Linked DNA regions of Arabidopsis thaliana. The protein of the gene in region 3 interacts with the protein of the main gene of each other region in a pairwise test. Each region holds a gene or a part of one and is shown on either strand. Other genes may lie near its edges.

What was found.
Region 1: the proteins of ABCG20 (region 3) and LPAT2 interact in a protein complementation assay, tested with the Arabidopsis thaliana proteins (one large-scale study listed by BioGRID).
Region 2: the proteins of ABCG20 (region 3) and TBL18 interact in a protein complementation assay, tested with the Arabidopsis thaliana proteins (one large-scale study listed by BioGRID).
Region 4: the proteins of ABCG20 (region 3) and AT1G77350 interact in a protein complementation assay, tested with the Arabidopsis thaliana proteins (one large-scale study listed by BioGRID).

The regions. Positions count from the first base shown.
Region 1 is NC_003074.8:21,347,097-21,353,694, forward strand, and holds LPAT2 (lysophosphatidyl acyltransferase 2), read left to right. Parts: upstream 1-2,286; 5' UTR 2,287-2,654; coding exon 2,655-2,732; intron 2,733-3,099; coding exon 3,100-3,222; intron 3,223-3,331; coding exon 3,332-3,371; intron 3,372-3,485; coding exon 3,486-3,559; intron 3,560-3,854; coding exon 3,855-3,914; intron 3,915-4,134; coding exon 4,135-4,212; intron 4,213-4,372; coding exon 4,373-4,531; intron 4,532-4,737; coding exon 4,738-4,863; intron 4,864-5,106; coding exon 5,107-5,199; intron 5,200-5,331; coding exon 5,332-5,418; intron 5,419-5,491; coding exon 5,492-5,743; 3' UTR 5,744-6,097; downstream 6,098-6,598. UniProt on the Arabidopsis thaliana protein: Converts lysophosphatidic acid (LPA) into phosphatidic acid by incorporating acyl moiety at the 2 position. Has preference for C-18-CoA substrates compared to C-16-CoA substrates. Required for female but not male gametophyte development.
Region 2 is NC_003075.7:12,967,636-12,973,144, forward strand, and holds TBL18 (TRICHOME BIREFRINGENCE-LIKE 18), read left to right. Parts: upstream 1-1,923; 5' UTR 1,924-2,116; exon of another isoform or gene 2,117-2,353; 5' UTR 2,354-2,551; coding exon 2,552-3,071; intron 3,072-3,578; coding exon 3,579-3,853; intron 3,854-3,962; coding exon 3,963-4,769; 3' UTR 4,770-5,009; downstream 5,010-5,509. Other genes in the region: AT4G25370 (Double Clp-N motif protein), read left to right, coding at 5,112-5,329, 5,433-5,468. UniProt on the Arabidopsis thaliana protein: May act as a bridging protein that binds pectin and other cell wall polysaccharides. Probably involved in maintaining esterification of pectins. May be involved in the specific O-acetylation of cell wall polymers.
Region 3 is NC_003074.8:19,836,426-19,841,752, forward strand, and holds ABCG20 (ABC-2 type transporter family protein), read right to left. Parts: upstream 3,559-5,327; 5' UTR 3,097-3,558; coding exon 877-3,096; 3' UTR 723-876; downstream 1-722. Other genes in the region: RS2Z32 (RNA-binding (RRM/RBD/RNP motifs) family protein with retrovirus zinc finger-like domain-containing protein), read right to left, coding at 1-82; UXS1 (UDP-glucuronic acid decarboxylase 1), read left to right, coding at 5,210-5,327.
Region 4 is NC_003070.9:29,068,370-29,072,695, reverse strand, and holds AT1G77350 (keratinocyte-associated-like protein), read right to left. Parts: upstream 2,472-4,326; 5' UTR 2,333-2,471; intron 2,215-2,332; 5' UTR 2,200-2,214; coding exon 2,041-2,199; intron 1,873-2,040; coding exon 1,821-1,872; intron 1,427-1,820; coding exon 1,360-1,426; intron 1,242-1,359; coding exon 1,151-1,241; 3' UTR 797-1,150; downstream 1-796. Other genes in the region: APPR6 (Tetratricopeptide repeat (TPR)-like superfamily protein), read left to right, coding at 1-713; AT1G77340 (Pentatricopeptide repeat (PPR) superfamily protein), read left to right, coding at 2,868-4,076.

The DNA.
Region 1 (6,598 bases), 1.5 Mb from region 3:
ATCTGAATGGTAATGTTTCAGACTGAAGCCAAAATGGCATTGGCATTGTCTCTGCGTCATGTGTGTCTCATCTGCGATCTACAGTTTGATGGATAATTTGCAGAATTCTCAATCAGCATGATGCTATGTTTATGAATCATGTAAGCAGAAACGACTCCTGTTTACGTTATATCAATGTTTCCATGGGTTTTGTTAGTTAAAGATTGCCGCTGGAAGCGTGTGCGTATACTATCACTGAGAAGAAAGATGAAGACAAGCCAAAGATGATCGTAGTAGCTTAAGGAACTCAAGTGGATTCAGACATCACTTTAGAGATCGAAATAGGGTTTGAGAATTGGAAAACAGTGTGAAAATAAGCTAAAGCAGTTGCAATCTCCTCAGTTATATTCATTGCAACGTTCGATGAGATCTTCTAACAGCATCTCCCCCCTCTAGCTCTTGATATCTTATTCCTCAACTAATCGAGAAACACTTAACTTTGAAAAATAAAATGACAAAACTTGAAGACCTCACACACTCTCAGTTGATCAAAACGAAGAACACTAGCTAAGATATAAAGTCAAGCTGTCGTTGTTGAATATCCCACAAAGTCGTCCTTCCAAGAAAAAGCTCACAACAAGACTTGCGGACTAATTTCATAGTTCTTTCTACATCACCTGAAAACTAGTTAGGAAGCTAAGGCTTTCTCTGTTTTTTTTTTGTTTGTCATTGTTCCACTGGTTCTTTGCTACAATTTAGGAGACTAGAACAAAACTAAATTTTTTGTTTGGTTATACAATGCAAAAAAATATCTGCAAAATAAGTGATTTAGTCTCTAACCGAGAAAAAAGTAATTAAAAACAGAGCAATTACTAACTATAATTTCTGGTGTCATTTTGAGACTATAGTTAAAACTTACAAGCAATGTTTTACATAAATCATTTTTAAAATTATAAGTAAAAATGTTGGCGCCTCAGTATTTCAGGTTCGATTCCCATTGTTCTTTTTCAAATTGGATAATTTAGTCCACATTGACAAAAAGAAAGAAAAATCATAATATGTTTAAGGATGCGTCAAGTGTATGCATATATATTGTTGTAAAAAGAAAAAAGGTGTATGCATACGTTTCTAACATATTTTGTCTGGCAGTCAACTATTTGTTATGAATATGTACAATCACATAGAAATGATAGCATGTGGCTATGTTACGTGAATTAAGGCAAATGATCTTACGTAGGGAAAATTGTAACTAAAAACTCAACAACCCTTATTTGTTTTTTTTGTTATCTTTTCCACTTTGCTGCAAAATTTATTGGAGAATCTGAATAAAGCGGTGAGCATAGTACAGCTGAAAATAACTAGATGATGAACTTGTTCTTTAGTTTGTTTTGATTCTTCATTATATTTAAAGAAAATTTGGTTAGATAGATCAACCACTTCAACAATACTTTTGTAACTTCAAATATTTAATAACAAAAAAATTAAAAAATGTTTGAACTTTACTGAAATGAAATTTCGATATTAGAATACTAAAGAATCAAACGTGCACTTAAATATCATTTAGTTTATATTTATACAAACCATGAAAGACTCTCATACTTTACACCGCACATAAACAATCAGAACCATACCAAACCATGTGAATAGAATCACAAAGACGTCATGCTTTAATTTACAAGCAAAAAAACAAAAGGCATCGGCTAGAGAATAGCAAAAAGAGGAAGAATTGAACGGAAAAATTGAAAACATATGGAACAAAGTGGAGCACTTAAACATCCACGGTAATATTAGTATATTAGTCACCTTCAGACTAGGGCCAGACATGAACAAAGGATTCGATGTTAGTGACAAGTAGCATATCAGACTAATAAGGATATATATTAAGCGGTATGGGTAACACATTAATCCTTTCTCCAATTACATTCTCTTTAAGGTTCTAAGATCCGCCACTAGGCCATTTTATTGGTAAAAGTAAAACCATTTTGGTGGTCGTCTATGAGTGTTAAGAATTATGTAACAATTTTTTTGGATTCACCTGAAATAAATCTGTTGATTTGAAATATTTGGACGTTACATTTCCATATATAAGCTTACCATACAAACATTATAATTAATTGGAAAGTCCAGCTAGCACTTTTTACCACATGCAAAGGGAATTAATCCTAACTTAAAAAATTAGGAGTAATCACATCTTGGTAGTGTATACCGATCAATTTCCGACAGACGTTTTTTTTTTCCTTGCCCATTGATTGCATAGTTCAAAACTTCAAAGTTGGCCAATCCAACCAAGTCGAAGAGATAGGAGATGTTTTGAAGTATGAAAACAAATAGAGGGGCTAAAATCAAAATAACAAGAAAAAACGCTTCTGCCGTGTTCGAATGTGTCCTCGTGATCATCTCCGTATATAATCAATCAATCAATAAAAATCCAGAGTTACAAACACTCTTCTCAAAATTTTCCCATTAAATCGCAAAGTTAATTTTGCGATTTTTTTTCTCTTTTTTTCTGGTTGGGTTATTTATTTTCCCCTTTTAAAAAACTTCTGCAACTTGTCTTGAAATCTGGGGTAAAATATTTCTTCATTGGTTTCTGGAAATCTCGGGGAACGATTTGTTGGGTTTTCTTCTTTGTACTCTCTCCTCACATTAGCTTTTGTTGGTGGGATTTTTTGAGGATGGTGATTGCTGCAGCTGTCATCGTGCCTTTGGGCCTTCTCTTCTTCATATCTGGTCTCGCTGTCAATCTCTTTCAGGTTTGGTTTCTGATTCGTTTCTGGTGTTACTCTTTTTAGATTCCGTTGTTGTTCTACATTGTAGATCCTTTCTTCTTTTGTTTTGATTCACTGCTTTTAGGGTTTCCTTCTCCAGAAACTTTGATTCTTTCGTTTTTGTCGGTGATTGTGTCTTAATTCTGAGTGTGCATATGAGAGTATAAGCTCGAAATTGACTCGTGGAGCTCATGCACTGAGCTATAGAGTGTTGTTTGATTCTGCGATTAAGTATCACTTTCTTCAGATTTATCTTGATTTCTATGTTGATTGAATCGAGGAAGGAATCTTTTTTTCTCTCAACTTCGTTTGCTTCAGTTTTGATGTTTACTACTACATATTGTTGTTTCAGGCAGTTTGCTATGTACTCATTCGACCACTGTCTAAGAACACATACAGAAAAATTAACCGGGTGGTTGCAGAAACCTTGTGGTTGGAGCTTGTATGGATAGTTGACTGGTGGGCTGGAGTTAAGGTATCCACAAGCTTTCTCCTTTTTACTAAATGGTTGTTAAGCTTGGATTTTGTTTTATCTTATCTAACTCTATGAGTTCCTCTCAAATTTCTTGTTTCTTTTCCCTTAGATCCAAGTGTTTGCTGATAATGAGACCTTCAATCGAATGGGTAAGTTCATATGCTTATTGGCAATCAAATCAGTTTCTGATGTCTTCAAGATATAAAATTCCTATGTAAGAACGAATCTGTAACTTCATTGACTGTCCTACTATTTTTTTCTAGGCAAAGAACATGCTCTTGTCGTTTGTAATCACCGAAGTGATATTGATTGGCTTGTGGGATGGATTCTGGCTCAGGTACATAATTTCACCTCACAGTTTCATCTATCTTCCTACGTTTTTGTTTGAATGCATAAATGGAGATCAACATAATAGACTTCTTGATGAGAAAGCATGTATACTTGCAATGGGACCATGTATTGCTTCCAAGTATCTACTTAAGAAAGATTATCTTAGGTAGAAGGTGACAGTCCCTAGTGATCATCTGATGAGATATGAGAGAGTATAGCATCATCATATTTTCTCTTAACACGCTCCCTGTTATGCTGTTTACATCTTTTAATCTATTGTTTCATATTTTCTTTCCTTGCAGCGGTCAGGTTGCCTGGGAAGCGCATTAGCTGTAATGAAGAAGTCTTCCAAATTCCTTCCAGTATGTGAATATTTTAGCTTACTGCTGTGTGCTTGCTAGATTTGAGAGAAAATAGTAGTAATCTTTAATTCTATTTCTGAATCTCTTCTATAAGTTAGAAATTTGATACCTGGCTTTGCGTTTGAGAAAAAATCATTGTTTTAGGTTAATACACTTCTCCGCCTTTTTTATCTGTTACATATTCATAGTACTCATAAACAGAATTTTCACACACATACAGGTCATAGGCTGGTCAATGTGGTTCTCGGAGTATCTCTTTCTGGAAAGAAATTGGGCCAAGGATGAAAGCACTCTAAAGGTATGGGTTTATAGTATCCTTGTGCAACTCATTTAGTTTTTGCTCCTGTGTAAAATGCTTATTAGCACGTGCAGCTACCTCGTTCATGAGGGGATTAGCCTAAAAATGCAGAATCTTCATTTCCAGACCATGAGTTATGTGTGTTTGTCTAAATTTACAGTCAGGTCTTCAGCGCTTGAGCGACTTCCCTCGACCTTTCTGGTTAGCCCTTTTTGTGGAGGGAACTCGCTTTACAGAAGCCAAACTTAAAGCCGCACAAGAGTATGCAGCCTCCTCTGAATTGCCTATCCCTCGAAATGTGTTGATTCCTCGCACCAAAGTAAGTTGTAATATTTTTCTTTTGTTCATTCCTGGGGCAACTTGATATCTTCTCTGTGTCCTTTAAAAAGCAAAATGATTGCTATGATGATCCAAAATCTCAATGCATGGGTAGCCTTTATACGTTTCATTTTCATCAGATCGACTTGGTGGTTGTTATTGTGATTTCTGCCCTAATTACTAGACTTGCTTGTATTTTTGTTTCAGGGTTTCGTGTCAGCTGTTAGTAATATGCGTTCATTTGTCCCAGCAATTTATGATATGACAGTGACTATTCCAAAAACCTCTCCACCACCCACGATGCTAAGACTATTCAAAGGACAACCTTCAGTGGTAAGCAAGCAAAAATATGAATAGGTCGTATAGCAGTTGAATCTTGCACTCTTCTCACAACAAATTTCAAAGTATGCACTGGCTTGGATCACATCACCATCCAATTTACTGAAACGAACATAACTCTTTATATCACCTTTACTTTTATAATGTGTAAGAAACCGTAGGACTCATCCCATCCCAAGCCTTTTTCTTTTAAAACCTCCTGCGCCATTAACGCAAACCATTGCTGCTGGTTTCAAGGTGCATGTTCACATCAAGTGTCACTCGATGAAAGACTTACCTGAATCAGATGACGCAATTGCACAGTGGTGCAGAGATCAGTTTGTGGCTAAGGTAAAAATTATGGATGTACTGGTATTTCCACGTTTCAGTTATTGGCAATAATATATTTGGTCAAGATTTGATAGAGAAAAGCTTGGAAAAGCTTTCATTTTGGTATTCTCTCATCTCGTCTCTGTGATACAGGATGCTCTGTTAGACAAACACATAGCTGCAGACACTTTCCCCGGTCAACAAGAACAGAACATTGGCCGTCCCATAAAGTCCCTTGCGGTGAGTCTATAAAATTCATAACATTCTCTTGGTTCCATCTATAAACTCACAAATCTCTTGATCTTTTTCTCAGGTGGTTCTATCATGGGCATGCGTACTAACTCTTGGAGCAATAAAGTTCCTACACTGGGCACAACTCTTTTCTTCATGGAAAGGTATCACGATATCGGCGCTTGGTCTAGGTATCATCACTCTCTGTATGCAGATCCTGATACGCTCGTCTCAGTCAGAGCGTTCGACCCCAGCCAAAGTCGTCCCAGCCAAGCCAAAAGACAATCACCACCCAGAATCATCCTCCCAAACAGAAACGGAGAAGGAGAAGTAAAAACTGGTTCTCACAGATCCAAACATCAAACACAACAAGAAGAAGCGCGTGTCAGTTTTGTTATAAGAAACAGAAAACCAAAAAAAAAAGACATCCAAATGAAAAATCCCTTAATATTATCAACTCCGTTTTGTTCAGCTACTATATTACTACTACTACTACTACGCAGCCTATGTCTCTTAGTCGATTGATGTATAGGGTCATGATCAAATCAACGATTTAATCCCTATAGTCCCTTGGGATTTTTTTTCTCAAGTGCATAGGCCTTGTATAACTTTCTATTTTTAGATTGGAATTTGGGATTGATATTAGACATTTTCCTTTTATTATTAAACTGTTTTGTTCCTTGGTTCTCATTGCTAGTGTAGAATTTATTAGGCACAAAACATGTTATTACAAGACGTTTTAGAAGAAAAAACAGAATTTATTCATGTACATAAATTATCTGACTAGACTAATCCTACTGGGACTTAATTGTGATTAGACAAAAAAAAATTCATTTTGAGAAGAAAAAACAGAAACCCGTTCATGGAATTAACTGAGATTAGACAAATTCAACTACAGTATGACGGTGATTACAGGGAGAATATCGTAAAAGAACAGGTTTTATTTTCTTCCATTTTTGATAGAACACATTTTTTTTTTTTTAATGAGTGTATAATATAATAAACACAATTTTTATTTTAGTTTTCTCAACCCTAAAACTAAAACCCTTTCACGCCGATTCAAAAGAAAAAAAAAACCTTCACAAGTCCGGTTGCTCGCGCCGCTTTTCTCTCTGTTTTCAAACTCCGATTAAAGTCCCGACTTGTATCAATTGATAAACCCTAATTGTCTCCGTTCTTGCTGAAACAC
Region 2 (5,509 bases), on a different chromosome or scaffold from region 3:
AAACATTTGATGCTAATCTAGTTTTTCTTTGGTGACTTTTTTTCAACCAATTTGAGATGTTTTAAATGGGGATCTGACAAGTAACTATTGTACCAGGAATACGCACCATTTCCTTTTTTTGTGCTTATAAATACATATTTATTTATTTTATTTATATAATAATTTGAAAACTTAGAAATTACACTAATTTATTAATTCTTTACTTACAAACAATTGGTTTTAGTTTTTAAAATTATCCAAGGCTGATTTCACCTAATTAAAATAACCATGACTAGATTTTAACCCGCGGACAACTTATTTTTTAAATTAGTATATATAAAAGTTTGCAAATTAAATCTATTTATTTTTATTTTATAGTTTACAATTGTTATTAAATAACGTCTTACCAAACCCGTCTCGCCAAATCCGCCCCGTAAAAAAAAACCGCGGTACACCGCTAATTTAAATATATAATTAAAAGAAATATTTTACGGGATTGCAATTGTATTTTGGTTTGTCAAACAAATATTTGTTTAAAATAGTTGCCAAAATCTAGTTCAAATTTTGGAGAAAAAAGATTTATTGGATAGATAAAGAATATATTTAGGTGGGTTTTGCTCATTTTAAGGGATTGCAATTATATTTTTGTTTGTCAAACATTTTTTGTTTTAAATAGTTGCTGAATATATTTGGAATATTTTTAGTTTATTAATCAATTTATTGCTGGAAAAAAATCAATAATTAATACTCAATGGCAGCCTAGTAAATAAGTCCCAACTCTAAGATTTATTTCACAAAATGGCTGCAAAAATGTATATATAGATGATTCATTATTTCATTTTATGCGGTAGGAGTAAAAACAACATTAACTAGCAAAAACTATAATACACACACAACAGTAACTACTCATCGAGTATGGCATTCATGGATACGAATCAAATCTCAAATCGTATAAGCCTGGCCATTATTTTATTTTACAATATTTGATAATGTGCTACCTAAATATCAAAATTTTAGAATATTCTGAAATAAAATGTCGAATTTTTGTGATAGCCTTAAATTACTACATGCTCACGTATGTAAATTTTCTATTCTTTCATAGTTAATTTTCTATTAAAATGTACAATTTCCAGTTTGATGGTATGAAGATCAACAAAGTACCATAAAAATGTATAATTTCTATTTCTTCCTAATTAATATTCTTTAAAGTGTAATTTTCCAGTTCATCCTTGTTAATTTTCTTAAATAATAAAATGTAAAACTTACAAATTTCACGGACTTTATTAACAGAAATGTAAATAATTGTAAATAAATGTAAACATACTGTGTCACAAGAAGACATGACAAAAAATAAAAACAGTAGAAATAAACTTTTTTCTGGGTGCGTGTGGTAAAACAAACATGGGGACTGATCCAATGAAGTTTATCGCAATTTCTGGAATTTCAGTCGGTGTATTAATCATCATCGCACTGATAGTGGCTTATGCCTGCTATCGTGCCCGAAAGGAAGGACCAGTCAGAGGCGACGGACGACTCACACCTATTGTAATGATGATATGATATATCACCTATTTTCGATCTTTTTCTAATAATTTATTTTATGATGCAACTTTTTAGATTACTATATACTATAGAAGAGCATATTGTAATTCTATTTTACCTATATAATAATAAATAATATTTCGGCGATTTTGTCATATGCTGGAGTGTTACATTAGATGATGACTAGTAGGGTTTTTTTTTTTATGTGAAAACAACAATCGTTGTGTCATATAACGCGAAGTGACAAACAAACAATTCGAAATATTAGCAATGTTACAAAATTCGAAATATACGCAATGTTATGGTGGTGTTGACCGAAGGGTAGTTTCGTAACTTTACATCATCGCGTGGTCGTATACGCGCCGATGAGATCACAGACGGCATTAATGGGCTCCGGAAGAAGAAACAAATGATTAATTTAAGGAATAAATTACCACTAAATTCGTTTGATTATTTCCGGAAAACAATTAACTAATAAAACTATAACTAACCTTTGTTTAATTTTTTGATTTCGCGTCTTCACTGTTGTGGATTTCTTCTGAATCTTCTGAGCTCGCTTCACCTACAAGAAGACAACAAGGATCATTTTCTCTAGGTTCGTAGATTCTCTTTCTTCTTCTTCTTCGTTTGGATCTGCTTAGTGAAGAAGATAATCTTCTGAAAAATTGTTTGTTTTTTTTCTGAAAATCTGAATACGTAATGATTTGAGCTGAATCTGAGTTAGATTCACATTTATATTCTGGATTTGTGCTATTTGATGATTTATTAGATCGATCATCTTGTTTTCTTCTTTCGCCTTTAAGTATGTTTGCTCATAGTGTTGCTCTTCCAGATTCCAGATCCTGAAGAAGGTGAAATCTTATCTGTGATCCAGTGGAAGATTGAATCAAGTAACAGATTCACTTAGTTCACTTGCGTATTGCATGCCCCTGAAGATAACATTTTGAATAATGTTGATATTGAATTATCACCTATAAGCTCTGGTTCTTGTTGCTTGTATTGGTTCTGGGTATCTACTAGTGAAGAAACCATGGCTTTTGGTTCTCCTAGGAATAATTCTATATTAGCTGCGGCTGGATTTCCTCGGAAAGTGTCTACAGTTGCAATTGCTATTGGTGGTTTGGCATCATTCTTTGTTTTCGGATTGTTGCTTCGTCTTTCGTATCCGAATAGTTCTTCAGTTGGTGGCATATTTTATGGGATAGGGAATCCTGAACAAGTTCATGTCCCTTTATCTTTGAGCAACCATACTGTCAATATCCTTCAGAAGAGTAGTGACATCAATGCGTTTGATAAAAATCTGACTTCTGATTCTAGCTCTGGCTTACCTGTTGTTGTTAGCAAAAGTATACCACCTCCAGATTTCAGTAGTGATAGGAAGTTGGAGACACCTTTGACACAAGAAAAAGAGGATTTGGTTTCTTCGGATATAACTGAAAAGACTGATGTTCAATCAGGTGAACGTGAAACCAATGTTTCCAAGGCTGAAGACACTCCAAGTGCATCATCTCCTCCAGATGATGTCTCTGAAACTGCTTCAGCAGAACCAGGTACTGTTGTTATCTTTTAAACGCTTATTTCCGTAGCTTTTGTCGTATTTGGAACATTTTGAGTTATGGTAGCTTAAATTTCAATAAACAAAGACTAAGCTAGTGTGGGAATGTTATAGAACATTTAGTTTTGCATTTCTATGGAAAGGCGTAAGTTTCTGAGAAGTTTTAAAGAAATTCAGCGGCTAAACTCTTAGCTATAGACCTACTGTAATTATTCTAGCCGAGGACTGAATATAGCAGATTAGAGTAAAAACTTGGTTAGGGAGCAGATAGTGAGTGCTGGGCTTGTAAGGTGGTCTCAGCATTTTGTTTTAGGGGTTAGAGTTTCTAGGCTTTGTGGGCATTTGGTTGAGAGTTCTACCTGTTTTGGTGAATTGGAATAAGAAGAGCAGTTTCATAGATCTGTTCTTGTCAGTTTCCCTTGCTTCTCATGATTCTAGCTGTTCGATGTTTTATATTTCTGTTATGAGTTTGTCGCTTACTCAAATCTTTGATTGCTTGTAGAGTGTGATTTGTATCAAGGTAGTTGGTTTTATGATCCTGGGGGACCTCTCTACACGAACAACTCTTGCCCTGTCCTGACGCAGATGCAGAATTGCCAGGGAAATGGAAGACCTGACAAGGGATATGAGAACTGGAGATGGAAACCGTCTCAGTGTGAGCTTCCTCGGTTTGATGCCAGAAAATTTCTTGAACTTATGAAAGGCAAGACACTGGCCTTTATAGGAGATTCAGTAGCTCGTAATCAGATGGAGTCCATGTTGTGCCTTCTTTGGCAGGCAAGTAATTCAATTTAATGGTGAAAACCGGTATAAGGGATCTATTGTGTTGCTTTATTCAGCTTCAGGAGATCGTATGTATTATATTAAAGTAGGTTTCTGTTTTCAGGTTGAAACACCAGTCAATCGTGGGAGCCGAAAGATGCAGAGATGGTATTTTAAGCAATCATCAGTAATGATTGCCCGTATTTGGTCATCTTGGCTTGTTCATCAGTTCAACGAAAAATTCGATTATGCTCCTGAAGGTGTCACAAAACTAAAGCTGGATCTTCCTGATGAGCGCATAATGGAAGCTATCCCGAAATTCGACGTGGTTGTCCTCTCATCAGGGCACTGGTTTGCAAAGCAGTCTGTCTACATATTGAAAGAAGAGATCGTGGGAGGCCAATTATGGTGGCCAGACAAATCAAAACCCATGAAAGTCAATAACGTGGATGCATTTGGAATATCAGTTGAAACAATCCTTAAGTCCATGGCTACACACCCGAACTACAGCGGTTTGACCATTGTGAGAACATTCTCACCTGATCATTACGAAGGTGGTGCTTGGAACACAGGTGGATCATGCACGGGGAAAGAAGAACCCATCCTTCCAGGGAAGCTAGTGAAAAACGGATTCACAGAGATAATGCATGAGAAGCAAGCGACAGGATATAACCAAGCCGTCGATAAAGTCGCGGAGAATTTGAAGCTAAAACTAAAGCTGATGGATATCACAGAGGCATTTGGATATCGCCATGATGGTCATCCTGGTCCATTCAGAAGTCCTGACCCTAACAAGATCACTAAACGGGGACCAGACGGACGGCCTCCACCTCAGGACTGCTTGCACTGGTGCATGCCAGGACCAGTCGATACATGGAACGAAATGGTCTTGGAGCTCATAAGGAGAGACAGGAAAAGCTCATCAACTTGACTTGGTTTGAAACTCAAAGGATGAGAGAGCATATTACACGACTTATACTATTAATCTGATTCTTGGTTACTGATAAACTCAAAGATAAACTCACTTGTAGATTTGTGCTAGGCACGGTGAGTTAGGATTAGAATTTGTTCCACTATACTTGTTGGTTCGTTTGTCCTGAGATTGAAATTTAAGATTTGGGAGTTATGAGTTCAAGTTTATTCATACTAGTCGAAATTTCATAAATTATATAAACTGGGGGGGGCGCATTTGCAAAATAGCTGAGTAATAATCGCCTATCTCACTGACTCACCCAAAGCCCGACCAAAAGCTTTTGATTCCTCAAGAGTGAAAATGGCGTCGTACACAGTCTCCTTTATCCCTTTGACGCTCTCTAATCCTCGGATCTTTGTTTCGAGACAGAATGGATCTCCCTCGTCTTCTTCTCGGATTCCTCTAACGTCTTCTCTGTTAGGTAAGAAGCTTCTGGCGACACAACCGTCGCATCGCTGCTTCGTCCCCAAGCTCCGGTGCTTGACCTCGGCCAGCACGGTCTTAAACGTCCCTATTGCGTTAGTTTTTTTATCTGACAGCTCTTTTACATCTTTATCATTTCTGGGTTTTTCCTTTCACCACGGATATTGAAGCTTAGGGTGTTAAGGTTGAATTTTTCAGGCAACCGGAGAATGGTTCTTCGGATAAGATCCCAAAGTGAGTCTCACTCCAAATTACGTATAGAATTTGTAATTGTA
Region 3 (5,327 bases):
CAAGGTCTCTGGTACGAGTTCTAGATGATAAGCGACCAACATAGAGGCGAGTGTTTCCATAGCGATCATCATAGCGAGGCATTGTCAAGCTGCAAAATATTTTTAACATAAGCTATTAGGCACATATGTATATATATATATATATATGCCAATCACAAGAAAAAGAATAACAGTATCCTCTTCAAATTATATAAACAAGAAAAAGACCAGAGAGTTAAAACACTACCTCAGACCTAAACATAGAACCCATGTGAATATCTATGATTTTTCAGCAGAACACAAATCCAAAAACAAAGAAACCAAACTGAATAACACATTCAGAGGCGAAAAGAAGAAAATTTCGTGAGGGGAGAATATAAATCTCTAATCAGATTAGACAGAAGGAAACCTATAAAGGAAATCTACGGCGAGGAAACGAGAAACCAATTGAAATCCCTAATCTAGAGAGCGAAGAACAATAAAATCGTAACCCTAAACAGATCCAATTACAAAGATTCTTCCTCGTACCTGGAGAGACGAAGAAGGAGAGTGCAAATACGCAGTAACCCTAATAATTTCGAAACGAAGGAAGTGAACCGCGGATGATACTGCGATTAGTCTTCAACCCCTATCTTATAACTTGGAAACCGACGAGATTCAACGGTAGCGATTTGTTTCAATCAACGGTTTAGATTTCACGGCGAGATAAACGTCGATATTACCGATATAGAAAATAGAAAATTGCACACTTTCCAATTTAGTACTTTTATTGGGCCTTATATCAACTCTAAAGCCCATTAAAGATTTAGCAAACATATGCAATTTCGTATTAATCATAAGTATTAAGTACATCATAATCATTGGTCAAGTTACTCTAATAATTTTCTGTTTTGTAAATCAGCGACGCTTGTTCTTGCTTCCGATCAAGAGTGTGAAGTAGAAGAGAACCCTAAAGAAGAATCCCCAAGCTACAGTGATCCACAAGCAATTCCATTTGCTTATCTCCGTGATTCCTTGCTGTTTCAGTATATCGATTCCCGTCGTTACGCAAGTCTCCGCCGTCACGTTGATCCCCAAAACGCCGCTCATGCTCTTCAGGAGGCTGATTTTCACGGCGGTTGGAACTTGTCCCAGCGGCGAATTGTCGAACATCTGGATCCCTCTGACGAAGCATTTCGTCGGATCTTCGAATTCGTTCTGTAGAACACCTTCGTAAGGGTATTTCACTAGGGAGAGGTAATGGAACCAGATCCAGTAGAGTGGGATTCGATCTCTAGAGATGAAGAATCCGGAGAAGAGGAGGAAATAAGCGAGGATTGCTACAACCACCGTGAATCCGATCATCACGTGTGAGACTACGCCGGATAAGAACGTCACGAAGGAACTTCCGGCCCAAAACGCGGTGAGGATTGTGAAGAAGAAGAAGAGGAATCCCTCGGAGCCTCCGGCGAGTCCTACGGCCGAGAATGTTGAGGCGGCGAATGCGGCGGATAAGATTATGAGAGCAGGGATGGAGATTATTGTGTGAGCGAGGACGTATGATGATCGCCGGTAAGCGTTGTAAGCTGTTTCTCTCATGAATATGTAACGTTCCTGTAGAAAGACTGGTATTGCTTCTGCACATGTGTAGAATGTTGTGGACATTGCGAATGCGAAGAACCCTAAGCGTTCTTGTATACCTCTTGGTGAATTGTCTAGTTTCCAGAATATTGTGGCTAGGATCATTCCGGTGACTAGTACAGCTCCTAGGCGGATTCCGAATAGCTCTGGTTGTCTTCTTGAGTTTAGTATAGATCGTTTACCAATTACGAGCATTTCAGTCCAGAATGGGTTTGCAAAGGTTTGAAATGATGATCTTAGGTTTGTTGCTCCGGAGACAAGCTTACCTCTCGAGATACTTGCGCTGATTGCATCTTTGAGAGATACATTGGTGTTTCTTCTGCTCTGGCTTGAGGTTTGCTTTGCTCGCCATTGCTTGTGGAACTCGACTAAGGATTTCGTTCCTTCTGGCGAATCTTCCAGCTCACGGATAAGATCGAGTGCAAACTCCGGCTTGTTCTCGTTTTCAGGAATTGGGTGACCGAATTCTGAGAAGAACTGAGGGAGGTGTGTCGGGGAGCCGCTGTAAACGGTGTTTCCCCTAGATAGGAAGATTAACTTATCGAGTAATCCCAAGATTCTGTAACTCGGCTGATGGATGGACATGATAACTATGCTGCCGCTTTGTGCGATTCTCTGAAGCACTTTGACAACCATGTATGCACTGGTAGAGTCAAGACCAGAAGTTGGCTCATCGAGAAAGAGAATAATCGGGTCATGGATTATATCGGTTCCAATTGAGACCCTTCTCCTTTCTCCTCCAGACACACCTCTGTGTCCCTCATCACCGATCACGGTTTTTGCTGCGTTCCTCAGGCCGAGCTGATCAATCAGAGCTTGAACCCGTGCCTTCTTTTTCTTCTTAGAAAGCGAGCTTGGAAGCCTGAACTCAGCAGAAAACATCAACGTCTCTTCCACGGTGAGCATCGGGAAGAGAAGATCATCTTGCATCACATAAGCTGATATGACTTTATGCAGGCTAGATTCAAGAACTTCCCCATTTAAAGTAATATCACCGCGTAGGCTCTCTTTTGAAATCCGATTGGCTAATGCATCGATAAGCGTTGATTTCCCTGACCCGCTCGCTCCAAGAACAGCCATCATCTCTCCTTCCCGGGCTTCACCAGAAATACCATTCAGGAGCACCTTAGTATTCATCTCCATATCATTACCATCAAAAGGTGAATTCCCACAACAAGGAAAGGGCTTAAACTTCTTCTTGATCTTCACGCTGTAAGTCAAGTCTTTGAAGGAAAGAACAAACGGAGAAGAAGAAGGCACACGAGAAGACGGAACCGAGGACCAGAAATTGGACGCAACCGCAATATCCATAGCCCGACTCTGGTCATCCCCCTCATCTTCCACACTCATGAGAAGTTCTGCAAGTGTGACAGACACCCGCGCAGTGTCTCTGTGACATCTCTGAAGCTCCACTGACTTGTGGATATTGTAAAACAGAGGGAGGCCATCGCCATTGACCCGTTTGGCCGGAGATAATATACCGAACAAACCAGACATCACGTGAATTATTGTCTGGTTAATGTTTTGGCCTCAGGTAATGTGTCTAAAGGTCTTACCCACAGAACAATTTTGATCGACTTTATAGGATATTTGGATGGGAGAATGAGGGAGAAACTTGTCAATTAGTTTGGTGATCTCTAAGTATCTAACTTTGAGTTGTTCTGGGTTTTGTAGCTTTTCATATTTACATGTACATAGCTTTTGTTTATATTTTCGTATGTATATAAATTGTAAGTTACGAGTAGGTGAGGAGTTGGGCAAATCCATCCACATTTTTCCGTTATTGTATGTATTTTTTCTTGGGGCTTAAGGTACTCTGTAAAAAAATCCTATTTTAGGTGGTTTTTGTTTACAAAGTGGAAAAGTTTACTCCATGGAATTACGTGTTTATTTCATCTGTATATAATGTATCCGGAGTTTATGGAATTGCAATAAGTATAGCTTATGTAACATGTCAGGAATAGAATTTCTCCTTGCACATGTATGTATGTCACGAATTTCTTAATCTCCTTTTGTTTATTATAGTCACGACCCGCGAGTTTTCTATAATCACTTACAAGCTCTAAGACTTGTTTTTTGGTGCGTGAGACAATAATTGACTAGGGGTTAATTGGATTTCCAACTATTTTGAATCAGTGAATATCTTCGTACAGTAACTAAAGCACGCTACGAATATACTGTTTGTTGTATCAAAATCAAATCATCCAACATTTTGAACATTTATTTAGCGGTTACTAATTAACTTTTGCAATTAGTTAATATCAAACACATAAGATATTCTCATAATTAGGATTTGGCATGGTACTATACTAAGATTGTACAAAGGCATGCCATTATGCATAATGAAGCTAATGGCGTGTTATCTTTCAATTGTTTGTTTAATCATGCACACCATTTTCGTCATATAAAAAAGCGTAAGTGAAGCCTATTTCATTTCAAAAAAAAAAAAAAAAAATTATAAGGATCATTGATTTGTACTTTTGTAGTTGGTGAAACAAAAAGGAAATGAATGTGAAAATTATGGCAGAAAAACGTGCAGATGTTCGGCTTTGATGTTGTAGAGCTACACACGAAAACACAACAAAAATTGTCATTAGGAATATGTAATGGAAACTTTATATAACGTGATGAGTTAGATTTAGGCATATGGAAGTTTGGTGTAGCTGTTATATCTGTTTTCTTGATTATTTTACTTTTGATAACCCATTTTTACAAGAGTTGTCAAGAAATAATAGAAAACTATATACTTAGTATCATCAGCTTGTCTCTATCAAGTTGAACTAATGATTTATCCAATGAAATACATAACATTTCTTATGGAATGTACACTTTCACACAGAGAATGAGTTTATATTATTCTGGTTAAGTTTAGTAAGACTTTCTTTATGTAAAGATTGTTTTGAAATTTTGTGTTTGGTAGAGGATATTTTGCTAAGTTTCCCAACATAATTTTGTTAACACTTTGAGATTTATCAGGTAGGACTAGATCAAGGAATTGAATCCCTCAGGTTTGAGATTTCGTTCAATGCTAATATTTGTTAAATCGTACGAGAAATTTTTACTCTCGTCTGTTGAGTAACAGCATGAGAGAGTTTTCATTCAAAAAAAAAAAAAATAGCATAAGAGCATATCTCTAGGCATAACATTTTGTGGGCTATTAAGGGGCCAAACTTGGGCATCCAATTGTTAAAAGCCCATATTTTGTAAGCCTCGAGGAGTTTTTTTTGTTTGTTTCCACATTTGCCTAAAGTTTTGTATATGTTCATTGAATAATATACAAATCAAACGCAAATCACATTAATGATCCCCTCAAGAATATATATATAAAAAATTGCATATATTATTAAACAATTAGTGAAATTACTTAATTAGATTATCTGATAATCACATATAGATTTTAGAAGCGAAACATATATATTTGCTCTATAACTAAAACAAAATAAAAATAAAAAAGAGAGCGAAGGATTGCATCAAGTAATCGCCGTGTAACTAACTACTTTTGCATTCACCATCGCTCTTACGTTTGAATCTATCCAGATCCAAAGCTCTTCTTCTTCCCGGCAATTCTGAGATCTCATTTTCACCGGCGACGAGCTTTAATCGGAGAACGATGAAGCAGCTTCACAAGCAAATGAGCTCGAAGCGTGATGAAGAAACCATTCCCATGAGCCAATCCAGTCCTTACTCTCCCAAAACTTTAAAGCATCCCAGATCTCTTCCCAGATCGC
Region 4 (4,326 bases), on a different chromosome or scaffold from region 3:
TACTTTGTAAAGCTGGAAGAGTTGATGAAGCTCTTGGCATTGTGAGGAGCATGGATCCAAGCATTTGCAAGCCGACCACTTTTATCTATAGTGTGCTTGTACATACTTATGGAACTGAGAACCGGCTTGAAGAGGCGGTTGATACTTTCCTCGAGATGGAAAGAAGTGGAATGAAAGCCGATGTAGCAGTTTTCAATTCATTGATCGGTGCATTTTGCAAAGCAAATAGGATGAAGAATGTGTATAGGGTTTTGAAAGAAATGAAGAGTAAAGGTGTGACGCCTAACTCCAAGTCATGTAACATCATTCTACGCCATCTAATAGAACGAGGGGAGAAAGACGAAGCTTTTGATGTCTTTAGGAAGATGATTAAAGTGTGTGAACCAGATGCAGACACTTACACGATGGTGATCAAGATGTTTTGTGAAAAGAAAGAGATGGAGACAGCGGATAAAGTGTGGAAATACATGAGGAAGAAAGGGGTGTTCCCTAGTATGCATACATTCTCGGTTCTTATTAATGGGTTGTGCGAGGAGCGTACCACTCAGAAAGCTTGTGTTTTGTTAGAGGAGATGATCGAGATGGGGATTCGACCATCGGGTGTAACGTTTGGTAGATTAAGACAGCTGCTTATCAAAGAAGAGAGAGAAGATGTGCTCAAGTTCCTTAATGAGAAGATGAACGTTTTGGTCAATGAGCCGTTGTGTGATTGACTTTCTTAGATTTCCTGTGAACCACAGATTAGTACGCTAACAACAGCTGATCCTAAGCATTTGGCTCAGGCTCCATTTACCTTGGTAAAGTTGTAATTTAAATTGGAATCAGCAATTGTTGCGGTTTCGATACATGAGATATTAAAATATAGATGATACAAACCATTTGATGTGTCTGGTTGCGGATGATACGATGTCGAGGCCAAAAGACACAATTCAGTTTCTCCAAGAACATAAGACACAACTAAAATGATTATCTCTATGATTATAAGCTGCAAAGGAAACAGACCTAATACTCACATCAAGCATAAGATGTGGATTTTGAATTTAGGGTTTCTAAGTATCACAATTCATGATGTTGAAAGTGTTTTTGCATCTTCAAGTGCCAAACAAATCTAAGTCCAGAATAATAAGCCGTATCAATTCCATTATCAGGTTCAGTGTCTCTTAGACTTTGACTCGGTTTTGGATAGCATGTATCCAGAGATCTTGTTCACCTCGTACAATAGCCCAGCAGAGAACAGGAAACTGCAGGCAGATCAAGAAACAGCATCACAATCACCACACCGCTTTTAGCAAGAGAGGAATGAAGTAATTAAACAGGGTAAATGGATATACCAAGTAGAACTAGTGAATTTCCACTTACCAGGTTGTGATACAAACCCGATGAACCGTGCCAGCAGCGATAAGAGCTATGATTTCTGCAAGAATGACTGCCATGGAAACAAAAATTGGCTTCAATACATTGCAAACCCTTGTTGAGTAATGAGTATACCCACTTTCACACAGCAGAAGCAGGAGGGGGCAAACAAATTCGAGCCATTTATCACTGTGATTCTTATATAGGTGATACAGAAAAAGACATAAGAATGAAAAAAATTTGGTTCCAACAACTGATTCACTAAAAGAGTATTTGTAACACATAAAAGTAAGAGTTTTCGTAATATGTTATCAGAAAGTAAACTTAGAGCATCATCATCAAAGATTCAAAAATTCCACTCTTAAGCCCTCAAACTTCTGAAGTGGAAGACAAAATGGGGTAGAGTAGACACCCAATGGTTTTGATCGTATGAACAAATTTGATTTCATGAAGAAGCAAGGACATACCTGCACCCCAACCACTCTTGATGCCAGAAGATTCCTGAAAATTTCCAATGAACTGAAAGTAAAAGAAACCGCATCAACCAAACTGTCAACAACAAATGTAGATGAATTCGAGAAGAAAACAAAAGATCTCAAATTTAACGACACAGATCAACATTGGAGTTGTAAAGGTAGTGCATTTCCATGAAGACGAGATCAAGTTGAGGAATTCTAAGGAACTTACAGTGAGAGAAAACAAAAAGAGGAGAGAGCTTGTGAATCCACCAAGGATCGTGAACAGCTCTGAAGAAGCTAATTTTCCTCTGTAAATTTCCTGAAGCGAGAGGATCACTGTAAACACAATAAGAGACCCTAACATTGATGTTCCAACAGCTCCTGCCATGCTTCTAAATCCAAACTAAACAATCAAATTAAGACCGTAACAGATAATCAGACACGAATTCGTACAAAACTGATCGATTGATCCACTGGTCGGAAAACGAGAAATCAACAGATAGAAGAATGTGATGAGTTACCTTGAAAGCCCTAAAGATCAGATCTTCTCCTCACGCTCGTCACTGCCACAGTTCCACTTCGAAGACCGGCAAATCGGAAACAAAGGAGATCGAGAAGAGATTTTAAGAAATGGGAAAATTGGGAATTCGCATTGACCATAAAATACATGTTTATCGTATATATTACATATATACCCTGACGGACCAGTCGCGGTTTCAAACGCTGTCGTTTTATACAAACAACTGACGTAGTATTGTACATGCCACTTGAGTTTGGGTTTAATTAATAAACCAATGCAGAATACCAAACGTAGCATTGTACCGGGTTTGAGGTTTTGCTTGCATTCACTGATTCATAAACCCTAAACCCTACTGTTGCTTGAACTGGAAGTACAACTTACCGTCGAATCAACCGACGATGAGATTACTACTTCCAAATCTCCTTCTACTTCTTCCGGCTACCTTCTCCGTCGAAGGCCATTATCCACCGCCGCATCTCTGCTTACAAAGTTACAAGTACTATCTCAACAGCAGAGTCTAACCCCTCTAATCTTCCATGCCGATTACTCTCAATTGTCTCCGAACCAAATTGGCAGAACAATCCATCTCTAAAATCTCTTACCCCTTCTATACACCTTCTCATGTCTCTTCTCTGTTTTCACTCAATCTTGATCCTCAGACAGCTCTCAGTTTCTCGGATTGGATCTCTCGGATACCAAACTTCAAGCACAACGTTACTTCATACGCGTCTTTGGTTACTCTTCTCTGCAGCCAGGAAATACCTTATGAGGTGCCTAAGATCACGATCTTAATGATAAAGAGCTGCAATTCAGTGCGAGACGCTTTGTTTGTTGTTGATTTCTGTAGGACAATGCGTAAAGGTGATAGCTTCGAGATTAAATATAAACTTACTCCTAAATGCTACAATAATCTGTTGAGTTCATTAGCTAGATTTGGATTAGTCGAAGAAATGAAGAGACTTTATACTGAAATGTTGGAGGATTTGGTTTCTCCAGACATATACACGTTTAACACATTGGTTAATGGGTATTGTAAGCTTGGATATGTAGTAGAAGCAAAGCAGTATGTGACTTGGCTTATTCAAGCTGGATGTGATCCTGATTATTTCACATATACTTCTTTTATTACCGGACATTGTCGAAGAAAAGAAGTCGATGCGGCTTTTAAGGTTTTTAAGGAGATGACTCAGAACGGTTGCCATAGAAATGAGGTTTCTTACACTCAGCTTATATATGGTCTATTTGAAGCAAAGAAGATCGATGAAGCTTTGAGCTTATTGGTGAAAATGAAAGATGACAATTGTTGTCCTAATGTTCGAACATACACAGTGCTTATAGATGCTTTGTGTGGATCAGGACAGAAGTCAGAAGCTATGAATTTGTTTAAGCAGATGTCAGAGAGTGGCATTAAGCCTGATGATTGTATGTATACTGTGCTTATTCAGAGTTTTTGTAGTGGAGATACACTTGATGAAGCAAGTGGATTGCTAGAACATATGTTGGAGAATGGGTTGATGCCAAATGTTATTACATACAATGCATTGATCAAAGGTTTTTGTAAGAAGAATGTGCACAAAGCAATGGGACTGCTTAGTAAGATGCTAGAGCAGAATTTGGTTCCAGACTTGATAACTTATAATACATTGATCGCTGGACAGTGTAGCTCTGGTAATTTAGATAGTGCATATAGATTGCTTAGTTTGATGGAAGAAAGTGGATTGGTTCCAAACCAGCGTACAGTATGAGGAATATCGTTAAGTGAGAAGATTTGTAATGGTCTTCTTAGATGTTACTACAAGCTGCAAAAGTATGAGGAAGCTGCAAAAGTTGTGGAAGATATGATATGTAATGGTCATTCACCACAACTAGAGTTTTGCAAAATGTTGATTTGCAAGCTGTGTGAAGAAGGAGAAAAAGAGAGAGTCAACTCGGTTTTCGAAAAACTGCTTCGATGTGGATATTGCGATGATGAAATCGCTTGGAAAATCCTCATTG